Linked DNA regions of Caenorhabditis elegans. The protein of the gene in region 3 interacts with the protein of the main gene of each other region in a pairwise test. Each region holds a gene or a part of one and is shown on either strand. Other genes may lie near its edges.

What was found. The genes of interacting proteins can lie anywhere in the genome.
Region 1: the proteins of zen-4 (region 3) and cyld-1 interact in a two-hybrid assay, tested with the Caenorhabditis elegans proteins (one large-scale study listed by BioGRID).
Region 2: the proteins of zen-4 (region 3) and fln-1 interact in a two-hybrid assay, tested with the Caenorhabditis elegans proteins (one large-scale study listed by BioGRID).

What each region holds. Positions count from the first base shown.
Region 1 is NC_003281.10:9,907,623-9,912,274, reverse strand, and holds the start of cyld-1 (ubiquitinyl hydrolase 1), read left to right. Parts: upstream 1-1,616; 5' UTR 1,617-1,617; coding exon 1,618-1,654; intron 1,655-1,706; coding exon 1,707-1,864; intron 1,865-1,919; coding exon 1,920-2,159; intron 2,160-2,552; coding exon 2,553-2,678; intron 2,679-2,958; coding exon 2,959-3,035; intron 3,036-3,078; coding exon 3,079-3,187; intron 3,188-4,652.
Region 2 is NC_003282.8:372,977-377,936, reverse strand, and holds the start of fln-1 (Calponin-homology (CH) domain-containing protein), read left to right. Parts: upstream 1-1,924; coding exon 1,925-1,960; intron 1,961-2,009; coding exon 2,010-2,123; intron 2,124-2,171; coding exon 2,172-2,343; intron 2,344-3,192; coding exon 3,193-3,366; intron 3,367-3,406; coding exon 3,407-3,975; intron 3,976-4,016; coding exon 4,017-4,293; intron 4,294-4,333; exon of another isoform or gene 4,334-4,416; intron 4,417-4,593; coding exon 4,594-4,960.
Region 3 is NC_003282.8:6,116,251-6,122,326, reverse strand, and holds zen-4 (Kinesin-like protein), read right to left. Parts: upstream 4,113-6,076; 5' UTR 4,104-4,112; coding exon 3,661-4,103; intron 3,615-3,660; coding exon 3,366-3,614; intron 3,324-3,365; coding exon 3,018-3,323; intron 2,964-3,017; coding exon 2,714-2,963; intron 2,662-2,713; coding exon 2,479-2,661; intron 2,434-2,478; coding exon 1,711-2,433; intron 1,655-1,710; coding exon 1,568-1,654; coding exon of another isoform or gene 1,484-1,567; exon of another isoform or gene 1,428-1,483; coding exon 1,305-1,427; 3' UTR 1,230-1,304; exon of another isoform or gene 984-1,229; coding exon of another isoform or gene 891-983; 3' UTR 550-890; downstream 1-549. Other genes in the region: M03D4.4 (C2H2-type domain-containing protein), read left to right, coding at 103-207.

The sequences.
Region 1 (4,652 bases), on a different chromosome or scaffold from region 3:
TCTGTTGATACTTTTAACTATTAATTTTGTTTATTAAATGTGATAACTTCCACTATTCCATAAGATGGATTCAGTTACATTTTTATTGCATTCAATTGTTGTTTATATTGGTGCGCAAGTCCAATCGAATGCGTTGTCCGTCTATCCTCAAGAGAACCGGTCTTTCCGTTTCCTCGACTTTTATCGATTTTTGCATTGAACTGCGTGTTCGGTTTGATTTAAAAAAGGTTCTGTATTTTTTAATTTATATTTTAAATTTGAATTTTCAAAAAACTTTCCAGCTACATTTCGAGTTCTCGTCTTCTTCAAAATGTCCAATCTTTTTGACAAATAAACTCATGTGCCTGGACCGCACTCAAACAAACGTACATGCAATCTGAATGTTACATCTTTTCTTTATTTATCTCAAAAAATTTGTATTTACCCAAATACTCATTTAAATAGCCACAACATTTTTAGTCATGTTGGTACCCTTGAAAAGGTTGCTCTAAACTTTAAATTGTCAATTTGAAGCTCTATTTGAGATGGGGTGGGCTCTGGGAATCTTGTTATCTGCTCACTGGGTTTTTGTCGGTTTTCTTTCATTCTAAAGCAATTCTGGATATTTTTGAAATTTTGATTTCTGAAAACTTTCCACTTTCCACTTTCCACTAACTACTATCTTTTTTCTTCGTTTTATTTCAAAAAGAAAGAAATAAAGCGAAAAATTATGTTAACCTGTCGCTAAATATCGGAAAATCTCATATTGGCTGGGTACCGCCACGCGATGTATAATTAAAATAAAATTTTAGTGTGTGCGCCTTTAAATGTTACTGTAGAATTTTAACAATGTTTTTTTAACTATAAAAACAATTAATTTTGAGTTAAATAACAAAATAATGGAACATTTTAAAAAAATTAGAAGACACAATAATTTTCTTTCCGCAAATAAAATCGAAGAAAACAAGCCTAGAAATTGTACAGTAACAGGCGCAGACACCAAAACTTTATTTCCAGCGCGCGCGGCGAGACCCATCCGCAGACATGCACCTCCCTTGAAACATGTTTGAATTTTTATTTTTGTTTTGTTTCATTTAAATGCATTTTTGAACATTTTCAGCGATTTTTAAAGATTTTTTCGTCGTAAATTCCGTAATAAATTTTTCAGAAACATGCTCAACCTTTGCCTACATTTTTTCGCATAAAATTTACCATTTTTGAAGAGAATCGCAATTTTAAATGGCATTTGCAACATAAACTATCTGCTCCGCAAGCCTCTTATCATTTTCCCTCGCTTTCTGTAAATAATTGTGTCAAAGCTCTCGTTCTCTCATTCTCTTTCGAAAACGTTCTCTGTCATTTGCTTGCTCGATGTTTTATTTTTCGGCAAAAAAAACCTAGCGCGCAAGGAAAACCCGAGGTCAAAACCAAAAATATTATTCAACACCAAATAGGTATATGATGCGGAAGTCTAATAATTGTTTGGACAACGTCCTTTTCTATTTGCTCACCGAAACGTAACACTGAGCTTCGCGCGCGCGCTTCGTCCACCGCTCTCCACTTATAGTACGAATCTTTATTTCATTTATTGAAATGTTGTCGTTCGTCAAACGTTCTAAACAACCCGCATATTTCAGAATGCCCGGCGAATTTGCAAAGTTTCCGGAGCAATCAGGTATTTTACGAAATAATAATAATTTTTTTTAAAACTATGTTTTTAATTTCAGCTGGATCTCATCAATTTCGTAACCCACTCGATGAACTTACGGGATCAAATACAATAACAAATTTAACTGCACACGATTTTGATTATTTTACACAGTCCGAGAAAAATTCAAATTTATATACAAGTGAAAATACAAGCAATTCTAACAGATTAAATCTCGTAAGTAACATTATTCTTGCTAAATCGATTTTTAAAAATTCGTTTTTTTTTTCAGAATCAAAATATACCGGTCGGCACATTAATAGATGGATTTGAGCTTATTAATGAAGCTTCTGGCTCCGGCTTTTTAGATGATCAATTAGTGGATGTTAGCGATTATAGCCGAGATAGGACGACGAAGCTGGATAGGAATAGGAATTCTCCCGAGCTAATAGTTGCTCTTTTGCAACGAAAAGTTCAAGGAATTCGATTTTCATCGAATTATGGAAGAGAGGAAGAACCATGTGTTATTGAGGTGATTGAAGTGGATTTAAATGAGGAAAATGAGCCAAAAAGACCGAATAGCGATAGTTTTCGGGGAAAAAAACAGAATTTCATCTAAAATCGCCAATTCTCCGTGTCGTAGCTGCCGAAATTTGATTTTTATTTATTTTTTGTCATCTTTAAGTTTTTTAAACGCTTTTTTTGTTGATTTAGGTAATTTTTGAGCCGATAATCGATTGATCAACGGAGAAACAACCAAAATATGAGAAAAAAATCCGGCCGACACTCAAAAGCGTGCATAATTTGATGTTTTAGCTGAAATCATGTTTTTGTAAAGCATTTTGGAGAAGTTTCGTTATGAAATTTGGTCTTTTGCTTATTTTTTCCACAATTAAACATTTTTAATTTTATTTTCTATTTTCAGATCCCACCAGGAACAATGGTTCGCGAAATGGCAGATGATGATTGGAAAATGTCTGAATTAAAAGAATGGTTCACAAAATCAAGAGCTTCTTCGCATTTACGTGATGGATTAGCAATGCCCATGGAGGTATCGTAATTACCCTGATTTTTGCGGCTAAAACTACGGTAGCGGGTCTCGACGCGACAAATTTAAAAGAACTGTAATTCAAAATTTTCGTTCCCGGCGAATTTTCATTGAATTTGTATAGTTTTTCTCCAGAATTCTTGTTTTTTTTTTTGAAAAAACGATTAAAAAATCGATAAAAATTCCAAAAATTTGTCGTTTCGAGATCGGCTACCGTATTTTTGGCACAAAATTTTTCGTCAAATTAATGCCTTTTCAGTTTCTCAATTTTTTTAAATTTCAGGAACTCGACTGCACTCCTCTGATTTGTGCAATGATTACCAGATCCGATGTAATGAGAATAAACCAAGATCAAGCAATGTATATTTATTATCTTTATAAATAAAATTTTTTCCCTTTTCAGACATCTTCTGGCTGTCAGTGTAGAGAAACGAATAGAAGTTTATCAAAATTTCGAATGGTTCAATTTCATTCTGAATCTGAAAATTGGCGATTCTGTTTCTGTGGAAGTGGTAAGTATTTGAAATTATATGTTTCTCAAAGGAATCTAGTTTTTAACCAAAAAAAAAGAAAAATAAAACAACGAATTCAAAATAAAGAGACGCAGACGAGAAATGGGCGTCTCCTTGTATTCAGAATTAGACTGTCACACGTGACTGATTGAAATTCCGATGGCATGACTAACTTATAAGTTTCTTGAAAATAATATAATGGGATAGGAATTAATGGCCCACGAGTCACATTTTTTGCTAGGCCTCTGTAAATTCCGCTCTGACAAAGTCAATTTTCCGGCTTTAATTAAAAAAAAAAACGAATTTTTTTGAAAATCGAAAAAAAATTGGAGTCTCTTGCTCGAATAATGAAATTTTTTTGTTTTTTCGAATGAAATAGTGATTGTGCCTCATCTTAAATAGTTTACTAGTGTCCAAAAAATCGAGAAATTTTCGTTTTTATTTTTTATTCTCAAACTCTCGATTTATATTTATCTCTTCTGGTCCGGGAAAAAATTAAATCCGGGAAAATTTCAAATGTACAAAAAAAATACATCCACATAGATTATGATACTTCTGATAAAGGGTGTCGTTTTTCGGTTTTTCCAAAATAGAAAAATTGGAAATCGAAAAACAAAAATTCTCGATTTTTCGAATTTTTAAAAATTTCGGAAAATCGAAAAATCAAAAAGACAATTTTTTTTCAGAAAATTAACCATAAAATATGATTTTTAAAGTTTAATTTCGTTTACATTGTTGAGAAAAAAACAAAACAATTTATTCTAAAATGAAGAACAATGAACAAAATTTTAAAGCTAATTTTAGAAAAATCGAAAAATGAAATAGAGAACCGGTTCACGATATCATTGACACTGACCGAAATATGTTTTATTGAACAACATCGAGAGGGATTAAGCATACAGTCGGCAGAAAATTGAGAAATTCTTTCAGTTTTAATTTTAATTTGAATCAGAAGCAAGGGCGTCGGGTTTTCAATTTTTGAAAAAACTAAAAATCGAAAAATCGAAAACTTTTTAGAAAAATCGAAAAATGAAAAGTTTTCGATTTTTCGATTTTTAGTTTTTTCAAAAATTGAAAACCCGACGCCCTTGCTTCTGATTCAAATTAAAATTAAAACTGAAAGAATTTCTCAATTTTCTGCCGACTGTATGCTTAATCCCTCTCGATGTTGTTCAATAAAACATATTTCGGTCAGTGTCAATGATATCGTGAACCGGTTCTCTATTTAGTTCTTTCTCTCTCTCTTTTCAACACAAAAAACATAGAGTTCCTCTTTCTCTGTGTGAAAGTATAAGTTATCCTCTTCTCTCTCTCTCTCTCTCTCTCTCTAACAAACTATTTGCCTGTTTAGTTGTTTCTTTCTTTCCTCTTCATCGTCTCAACCAACTTGTTTCTCATTTCATTGGCGACGCCCTTCCTTCTCCCAATTTGTTGTCATCGAACTTGAATTGATTGAAACAAAATC
Region 2 (4,960 bases), 5.7 Mb from region 3:
GATGTTATGAATGTGTTGTGGAAACTTCCGAAACTTGTACATTTTCCAGGATTTGGCAACTTTTTTGTTTGAGTCACATTTTCACTGTTTTGTTCTTTCTATCCGGTCTACAAAAGTGTCAAATTGAAACAATAGACGAATGTGGCAATAAGATGATTCAGAATACGAAAATATTCTTGAAGAACGCCCAAAAAAGAAACTTTGTTTTTTTTTTTGCCAAATGTTCCTCCAAACGGCACACCCTTTCATATTTCTATCGAGAATCGTTAAATTTTCGGTTCTAAACGAACGATGCACATGAAAATGGTAATGAAAGTTCTCTTTCACTGTCTGCGTTTGTCGTTCATTTTTAGTGGGTGTGAAATAGGGAATAAGGTGATAAATTTTGAGAATTGATCATCGCAGTGCCCTTTCTCTTCTTTTTGGACTTTATATGGATACCGCAATTCCTTCTTCAATTGACTCGAGTTTTGACTAGATTTTGGTCAACATTTTAAAGTGTGTTTTTTTTTGTAATTTCGAAACTCGAAAACAGGAGTACGCAGCCATTGCCGACCGGCAATTCTACAAAATGAGACGGTCGAGCATGTTCTCCCGATATTTTTCATTGAAATTTAATTATACATAGAAAAATATTTGCTTTATTTGAAACAACCGAGAAAGTGTTCAAAAATTGTCCGAAAGTTGAAAATTTACGTTATTTTTCCGCAATTTATAAAGCAAATGTTTTTCTATGTATCATCAAATTTCAATGAAAAAAAGGGAAACAAGTTCACCACCTCATTTTGTAGAATTTCCGTGCACCCCAGCTCGAGACTTTATATTCTGGTAGAATGGGCATTTCTCACCAAGTTTTCTTTTAAGTACAACGTTGCCGTTTTTTGTCGTTACCGTATTTCTATTTCTATCCAAAAGATTTTCAAATTAATTTCCCATGTCTTTGGTCTTTTCAATTGGCTACAGTACCCCCCCCCCCCCCTAAAACAATTCTTCCATTTGTACCAGAAGCCGTCCATCCGTGTCTATATTCGTTTGTTCTCTTTGTATTATGTGTCTTTTTCCTACACAAAAAAAATGAAATATGAATCACCATGCACGCGTTTTCTTCAATTCTCTTAGCTTTTCGTTTGAACAAAAACTCTGCTTTCGATTTTATTAAACTTGAAGATTGAAACAAAAAAACTTCAGTTTTTAGTTTTCCAGGATGTTTAGTTTGTTATCTCGTTGATTTCTCATCGTAAATATGGAGCAACTAAATTTTTTATACCATCTCAAAATTCCAACTATTGCCAACTTTACGTGCCACAGCGGCCGGAAATCAGGTTTTTGTTAATTATCACTATTTTGCGCATTTTAGATGTTTATTGTGGGGTTTTCATTAATTATTTTACATTTCAAGTCGTTAGGTGCAGTTTAGACAAAAAAAACCAATTTATGTGCTTATTTACTGAAAATGTACCATAATCAATTAAAGGCAGAGTACCGAAATCTGAAACAATATTTTTTAGACCAAAAATGACCCAAAACTACCGAATTTCGTAATGAGACGTTTTGAAAATTTCTCAAAAAAGTTATGGCGGTTCAAAGTTGTGGAAAAATTACCATTTTTAAGCTAAAATCTCAAATTTTGGCAATTTTCGCAGAGGTTACTTAAATTTTATTTAAAAGAAAAAAGTTTTCATTGGAACTTAATTTTTATTCAATTATCACCTTTTAATGCATGTATTCGCAGTTTATTACGTGTTAAAAATCATTAGAAATGTCGATAGAAAAGAATCGACATTTCTAATGATTTTACCTTTTGGCCGTACGATTTAAATCATGTATTATTCTCTCATTCTCACGCTTCTTTATCAATACCTTGATTTTTGCAGAAGCGAATAATATAGGACTGCTAGAAAACTTGCAATAATCAACGTCTAAAATGGCGCAACCAAAACGCCTTGACCAGGAAGAAGAGGTATTTATTTTCAGAAGACTATACAACTTTCTAACATAAATATTTTCAGGTCGTTCCGGCGATCCGTCACGATGACGCCGAATGGAAGATCATCCAACAGAATACATTCACCAGATGGGTCAAAAATCATTTGCAAAAGGCTGGAGAAACTATTGAGAGTCTGGTGAGTTTTGGATTACTTTATTCAGTGATTTTATATTTATAATTTCAGGAAACTGATTTCTCGGATGGTCTCAAGCTTATTGCATTGGCTCAAGTTCTCTCCCACAAGAATGTTGGAAAATTCAACAAGAAAGTGGCATTTCGTTCACAGAAGCTCGAAAATGTGTCTCTTGCGTTGAATTTCTTCCAGAATGAAGAGAATATTAAGATTATCAATATTGGTAAGCAGTCCTTCACTGAAATCCTGAAAAATAGTATCGTAGAAACGATATATTTTCCTTTTTCGAGACTGCTCCGCGCGGTGAAGCAGTTCAAAAGGACGAATCCGTAGTTCAAACATGTTTTTGTTTGTTTTCAGTGTATGGGAGCTCTCGCCCGAGCACACGGAGTTCCCCTTTCCTCTATTATTACGAACAACATAGGTTGACCACCGTTTTTCGCAACAAAAATACCCATTTTCGGGACTTTAAGCCAATATTTCGACGTGTCAATTAGTGTCGTTTTTAGAGAAAGAATTTCGGAAAAACGGCCACTTTAAAAAACATTCAAAACACTGAATATTTCAATTTTAATTTACAAGTTAATGTTCATTTCGATACTATCTCTTAAAGAAAATCTGAGAAATATTTTCAATTGACTCCAAATTTTTCCCAGATTCTGAATTTCTATGTGAAAAAATTCAAAAAAATTTCCCTGATTTTATATCCAATAAGGATTAAAAATATCTCGTAAATATACAAAATTGTCGTAAATCGACACATGGCGTCTCTGGTGCGAAAATTCGTCGTTTGAAAAATCAGGGAATGTTTTGTGAATTTTCTCATTTTGATTTCAGAATCAGGAGAGAGAACGACAAAAAAAAAAAATCACAAGGGTTACTGTATTTTTTTGCGTTTTAATTCTTTACCACACGAGCTTTACCGAAAATGTCTCGAACTTTTGACAAAGTCTGATTAAAACCTGACTTCTCAATGTTTTGGCTCAATACAGAATCATTCAAACATTTTAATAGTTATATATTCGGTCACCACAACCCATTTTCTATTTAATTGCATTATTTTAAATTACAGACAGTACTCATATTGTGGATCATAACAAGAAATTGATTCTGGGACTCGTTTGGACATTGATTCTCCATTATTCAATTTCGATGGGATGGATTCAAGAAAAAAGAGAAGATGGAGATAATAAGGAGGAGACTCCGAAGCAAAAGCTCCTCAATTGGATTCGTAATCGTCTTCCAGGTACCATTTCGAATTGCAACATTTACTCATCACCCTAAAGTTTCAGGAATGCCGATTTCCAACTTCACTTCCGACTGGAACGACGGAGTTGCTCTCGGTGCACTTGTCAATTCGATGGCTCCAGGAGCACTTGAAGACTGGGAAAATTGGTCGCCAAATGATGCTCTGGAGAACACTGAGAAAGCCATGAAGTCTGCTCAAGATTTGCTTAAAGTTGCTCCACTCATTGCTCCAGCTGAGATGATTCATCCGGAAATTGATGAAATGTCTGTAATGACATATCTTTCACAGTTCCCTGCAACAAAACCAATAATAATGAAGCCAAAGGTTCAAGCGACTATTTCAAATTTGGACAAAATTCTCCAAGTCAATGATCCTAGAGAGTTTGATTTGAAGCTTTCTCGTGATGGATTTAAGCCGAAAGTCTCGATCCGAGATGAAGATGGACAGGATATTCATTTGAGTCTTAAAAAGGTTGAGGATAAAGAAAACGCCTACAAAGTCAAGTTCACTCCTACAAAGATTGGATTTATCCACGTGGATGTAGCCGCGAACGATGTTCACACGTTTGAGACTCAGACCATTCCTGAGGCTAGCGTCATTTGTCAGGTAGAGAAAAAATTTATATATAATCTGAATTTGTTCTTCAGGTTGTTCCAATCGCCCGCCTTCTCGATTATAACAAAACCGCCAAAGTCGGAGATGACGTCAAATTCGCCGTGGTCGACGCCATTGAAGGTCCTGTTGAAGCAATTGTTGTTGATCCAACTGGAAAAGAGCACCGAATGGTTATCTTGGATGGTACATCACCAGGAGAACATTCATTCGAATACAAAATTCCGTGTATTGGACTACATTCAGTCAATGTTTTCCACAAGAAGCTCCCATTGACCGGATCGCCATTCCCACTGCGTGGAAAACCAAAGAGTGCGTATATTTATAAATATAAGAATCGAGTTTCTGGATGCACCACGAATTCAAGATCTGGTGGAATTAGGGATCTGGCACAAAACACAATTTTTCTCAAAGAAAAACGTGACAACTGCTCCATGTTGCGTGTTGTTAAGCATATTTTCTTGAAGAGAACTTTTGAAGAAAACTGTTTTTTCTTCGAGAAAAATTGCGTTTTATGCGTTGGCACGGTGACAGATCCGGAATTCCACTAAATCTTGAATCCATGATGTCTCTGTTTCTGTATTTCAAAAAAGTAATGAAATTGTTTTTCAGATTCGTTCAAAGTGTGGGGACGTGGAATTGCTCCAGAAGGAATTCGCAAAAATGATGTCGTTGGTGTCCACGTTGAATCGTTGGATCCGGAAGAAAATATCGCCAACGCAAACATTTCTTTGGAAGTGTTGAAACCGTCGGATGGTTCTCATCTACCAGTTTCAGTTGGCTACAATGACGAATCTCAGTCAATGGATTTCGAATATTCGCCAAAGCAAGCACCTGATGATCTAGAAGTACTCGTTAAGGTTGCTGGTGAAGTCATCGAATCTCATAAGATCCATGTGGCACCGGAAAGCTCTTCGAAGATCAGAGCATTCGGAGCAGGACTTGAAGGCGGAATTGTAAATGAGCCATGCGTGTTTGA
Region 3 (6,076 bases):
AGCAATTTTTGAAAAAAACGGTGCGGCACGCTTGCAAATTTCATGCCAGACTTGCGGAAAATATTTCAAAATTTCCACTGTTTCAACGAATGTATATTTCAGATCATCGCAAATGTTTCCAATTTCTTGACAAATACAGCAACACCGGATAATATGTTCATGATGAATGCAGTAAATGTATTCACTCATCTTAAAAATACTCTCTAGGCAATTAATTTTCACCGATTTTCTTTTTTTTTTCTCATATTTCTCTCACCACGTGGTTTCTGATCTTGTCTCTCGCCTGGCTTTTCCCAATTTAACTTTAATTTTAAAAAATTAAATCTCTCTGATAATCAATATTTCTGACCTCTTTTTCATGATAATCCCTTTTTATTTTTCGATTGAATTATTTTTTGAAATACCAACCAAAAAATCAAAAAACGCGTATTAAATCATAATTATTTGTATAAAACCGTGCCTTTTTCCCACCATTTTCTATGTAACCCTCGACCTAAATCGGGTCTTATTTATTGAGATTCATTTTTTTGAACGAAAATAAAAGCTAACTTATTTTCATATTTTATATTCTTTGAGTTTAATTAAAATTAAAATACAAAAGCATTTACTAGTACACAAATCATCGTCGGGAATAAAAATGAACAGAGTTCTTCAGATCGATATCAAAAAATTGTGCGTAGAAGGAGAAAAAGACGAAGAAGTGAAAGATCATAAAAATGCGGTGAGGTCTACAAAAAAACAAGAGTTCTCTTCGAGTTCGGAAAATGGGATTATGAATGAGAAACATAATAAATTAATAAATATTTGGAGAAAATTTGAAGAGTATGGTACAAATTTGACATGAAAATGCAGCAGGATGGAGGTAAAAAGATCAAAGACGGCACTTATAATTACTTTCGTGTGCTCGGAGATTCGTGAGTGAGTCTCTCGATATCGTTGAAGAACACGGCAGTGCCACCGGAAACTGTTGGAATTACATTTCCCTGAAAAATTCGAGATGAGCAACAGATGAGAAAGTGGAACACAAAAATAAATGTATTTTTAAAGTTATATGACCTAAAACATTACATGAAAAACTGAAATTAAATGCATATAGAACTAGCACTAAATTAGTTAATTTTAAGCATGAAATTTTAACTCAAAAAGTATATATCAAGCAAATTCAGGCAGTTTTCTCAAGCACTACTAAAACAGTATCTAAAATAGCCAATAAACAATCAAAAACATACAACAAACACATAAAAATGTAAAAAGAGCAGCTTCATCTTCTCATTCCCCCAGCAAACATTCATTTCAAATAATTCTCATTCATCTTCTTCTTCAACATCATGATTAGAGTATATCGTTATCGATTTTACATCCGTACACGGTGAATACGAACTGCTTTGCGAGTCTTCCAGTTGAAGTTCTGGTGGTTTAGATGGTGCCTGTTAGAATGCGTTACGTGTGTGCTTTGTGAGAAGAAAAGACGGACAGTTTTGTATCAGGAAAGATGGGTGATAAGGACACGGGAAAACGACAACGGGACGGTACAGGCGTGTTTTTGGGTGGAAACCAAGGAATTTACCTTCACTATATTCGTGCTAATGTTTCCTTCATCGTCAACTTCTTGATGCGTGAGACGGTATTCTCCGGATTTGTTCAACTGATGCATCTGGAAAACAATTGAATTACAATAAAATTGCGGAATTTATTAATGTTTTTTCCTACCTCAGGTTTAGTAGTCCGTATGGCGTTAGCCGGTGTACGAGACTGAAGAACCGTTCCTGTTGGAACTCGATGAAGTGGCTGATGATCCAATAGACGAGATGCAGACTTGGATCTTCTTTGATATTTTGGATTAACGTAACCCTGTTGACCACTTCCTCCACTTGAAGATCCAGACATTACAGTGGTCGATGTAGTGGCTTCTAACCGTTTTTTGAAGACTGGAGCACGTCCTGGAGTTTGATATGGCGGTGGTGGAGTTTGGATTGGAGCTGTTGGATGAGCCACATTCTCTTGATCAAATCGTGATCGAAGAGAAGCAACAGACGGGGATGGATTATCAATAATTCCACGAACATTTCTCATCGCCTTCTTCTGTGACTGAATAATCTTCCTGTCCTCCATTTTTTGTTCCATAAGCTTTTCCATAACCAGAGCATTCTCTTGCTCTCCTTGCTCACACGAGGCAATTCGTTCCTTCATCGAAGCGTTCTCACGCTTATATCTTGAGCAGAAACCTCGAAGCTTCTTGATTTCTTCATCCTTGTCGTTTAGAGAATCTTTGAGACGTGCAATCTCTACTCGCTGGTAGTCTGCTTCCATCATGTATTGGCGAATCATAGTAAGAAGAGTTGAAGATGGTCCCTCTTCTGATGAATTTTGAAGAGATGAAAGTTTCCGAGCATACTTATACATGGAATCTACCGTATCTTTGTCATTGCAATCCTGGAAACAATTTGTTCAAAACCATTCAATTTGTGAAATTCTTACTGTCAAACAGAATGTCGGTGGGCACGGAATTTCTCTACTTCCATCATCCTCCATACGAACAGATCCATCTAGCTCAGAATTCCATTGGGTGAAGAATGAATGAGGAATCCGCTCGGATGGCATTCGTTCAACTTGCTTTTTCACTTCAATTGTTTGTGATTCTTCAGCGAAAGCTAGAGCACTCTGAAAGTTACGAATTTAAATAATTAGTAAATTCTTTGAATTCTGAACGAACCATGTTTTCATCGTAATCATCAGGCTTTGGATTCACACAAATAACCATTCTGATTTTTCCATTTCCTTCCAGATAGTTTTTGAATAAATGAGTCAATTTTGACTGGCGATATGGAACTTGCTCAAGGTTTTGTGAGGAACTCTTTTGGTTACGACGGAGTACTTCAATACACTGACGAAGAGTCATGAGGGACTGATTGATCGAGTTGGCTTCCGCAAGACGTTCACCAACATTCTGTGTGCGCTTTGCTCTAAAATTTTTCTCATTAAACATATATATTTCAGTTTACAACAAAAAAACAAACCTCTCAGATCCAGCCAAATCTACCAAACATAACTGCGAAACGATAATTTGCGATGAGTCCATTGTTGGATACACGCTTTTCGTCTCGTAGGCTCTCGGAGCCATAACCAATTTGATAGTGAATACGGAATGAGAACGGGATGAATCTTTGTTGAGAAGAGTGGACGATACACGACGACGTTCTTCTCCAAGGCAGAACACTTCGAGAGCTTCCTCGCTTGACGAGACTTCAACATCTTTGGCTCCGTCGACGTACATCTGTTGCTGACGATCATGACGAATTTCACGCTTCGTCAATACTCTGGAACTAGCGGAGGGTCACTATCAATTATTGCTCGATTTTTCTTACCCATTTCTGGCGTCTTCCAACAAATCGTAGCAATAATTGTTGTAGATTTCGACGTAGGTTACGAAAACCGAGCAAACCATATCGTCGTTGTAGCCTGACAGCTTTATAGCTTCACAGTAACGATCAGTGATTTCGCGTGATGTGGAAAGACGGTCTGCAGCCATTTGATGGCGTTTCAAGTGAGCATCCAATGTGGCACGGATCTCGAATGTATTCAGTGCTGATGGATAGAAGATGCATTTCTCAACTCTGGAAGAAAATAATATTATTTGCTTTTTTCGTTTCAAAAGCTTACCGATTATTAATACTATTGAAAATTACATCCAATGTACGCGGCAGTAGTCCTGTGCCGGTTTCAGTGGGTTTTCCCGTCATTGTATACGTTTTTCCAGATCCAGTAACTCCATAAGTGAATAACAACGAATTCTGACCTTTCAATAGGTTTAAAATTAAATCAACAGATGTCCGCTCAAAAACAGTAGCTTGTCCATCATTTTCCGAAAAAACTCGTCCAAATCTAAACACTTTCTCAACTTGTGGAGCGTTTTCGCGTCTGAACTGTGCTGGTGGAAGAACAGTTTGAATAGATCCCTCATCAATTGCAATAAGACTTGGAGTCGAGCCAGTATATGGACAAAGACGACAAACGACTTCGATACTGTCGGTTTCTTCAATCGATAACTTCTTCCGGCGGACTTGGTCTCGCGATGGAGTTATTCCTCGTTTACGCGACGACATTTTCTGAAATGAATTGAATTAAATAAAACAAGTTTTGTTATATTGATTTACAAAAACGGTTTTATTCCAAAAAACCGTGAAAAAATAACAAATTTCGAAGAAAAATCAACAAAAACAAGTCAAAGCAAACATGTGAGAACGGTTAGAATTCAAACTGGCGGCGGAGGGGGAGGGTGCGCAGTGAGACCAGCCACGCAGATAAATCTATGCGCCTTTAATACCTATGTCTGCGTCTCTCACACAAGGCAGCGAGAGTGGTACTCTTGTAATATTGCGGTGGCACTCGCTAGCTCGCGTTTTGTCCGCCGCCACCGTGTGCTATGGGCCTTCCTTCAGTGCGGGGAGTTGAGACTGTAATGGGTTCCGAAAGGATGAAAATCCTCAAAGTTCCTGATGTGGCCGCATCAAAGCACAGGTCGGATATGATTGTAGTGAGATATAATAAAAATCATTTAAAGACATAAAAATAAACACATAATACATAGGAAGATTAATAAAAAACATACGAATAAGTTACAAACAAGGAAATTAATTATCATCTGTAAAAGTTGAGGTGCCAATATAAGATTCGTTTTGCTAATTTTTAATAGAACTTTATATTCTTTTTGTGAAAAAGTGTCTTCGTAGTTTGGTTTTGTATTTCCCCCAGATTAACTTGGTTTTGGTTCTGGTTTTGTAGTTTTTGTCTATTTTTAAAAATTGGTCAGTGTCAATGTCAACTTTGTGTACTCTATCTCTATCAATTTTTAAGAGCCAAATGTACACAATAAGTTCTGCTGATTTCATAGTGAATAAATTTCTAGAAAAAAAAAACATGATATACCACAGTGCCAGTAGCCCAACAGTACAAAGAAAACATGTGAAGTTCACTAGAATATTCTACATTTGTTTACTTCTAGAATTATAATACTATAAAAATTAATTTTCAAGTCGTAGTAAAAAATCATTAGTAAAAGATAAAACGTAGTAAAAGAGCCAATTGTAGTACAAGATCAAGTAGTAAAACAGTATTTGCCAAAAAATTCAAATAACAGAAAAAGGGCATCCTTGGTGTTCAATCCAAGCGAGCAATGAATTCGGAGCAGTTCTGAATTTGGAAAAAATGTGCCAATTTGTTGAAAAATAATTCTTTCCACAGCAATTTCGAAGTTTATTTTTTAAAACCGTCCTTAAAAATCTCAGTGTTTTCCATTTCAGACTCAAGATTCCGTTTCAGATAAATCACGTCATGACGTATCTGAAAAGAGAAGGGCGACACATTAAGATTCAAAAATCGTCTGAATTCTTGCACTCGCATTAAATTATTTATAAGCTTCTTATATCTCTGATCATCAATCAAATGGGGTTCCCAGGATTTTAATTCTTGATTCGTTTTTTTTTTGCGAGGAGCAATGAGTGGGCGCAGCCGAATCGGGGAAGCCAAATTGTTGAAGATGCTCCCCAAATTATGAAACGTTTAAACAGGATTAAACATTCTATTACGGGCACACTAAATTCTGAGAATGCGTATTGAGCAACATATCTTACGCGCAAAATGTCTTGTAGCGAAAACTACAGTAATTTTTTTAAATGTCGATTTACGGGCGGAAAGTTCGAAACAAATTTATTTTCGAATTGTGACAGCGATATTTAAACTTCCTCCAATTTTTCGTTGAGCGTCAAATGTGATGCGCAATACGCATTCTCAGAATTTAGTGTTCCCGTAATATTTTTTGTTTTCACCCTTCGTGGGAAAACTACAGAATATTCTCAATTTTCTCCAGAAATCACCACACTCCAAACACTTGGAAACTCACGAGGTGGTTAATTACTGATTCTTTGAATTCTTTTGTGTGTTGATGAGAAGAGAAGAGTTCAAAAGGTTTCTGCCGCCCACAACTTTTCTCTTCGAATATTTATTTTTTCTCGTCCATTCAATCTTTTTTTGCAAAGGTAATTCAAAAACAAAAAAATGTTAAATAAGGAACAAAACG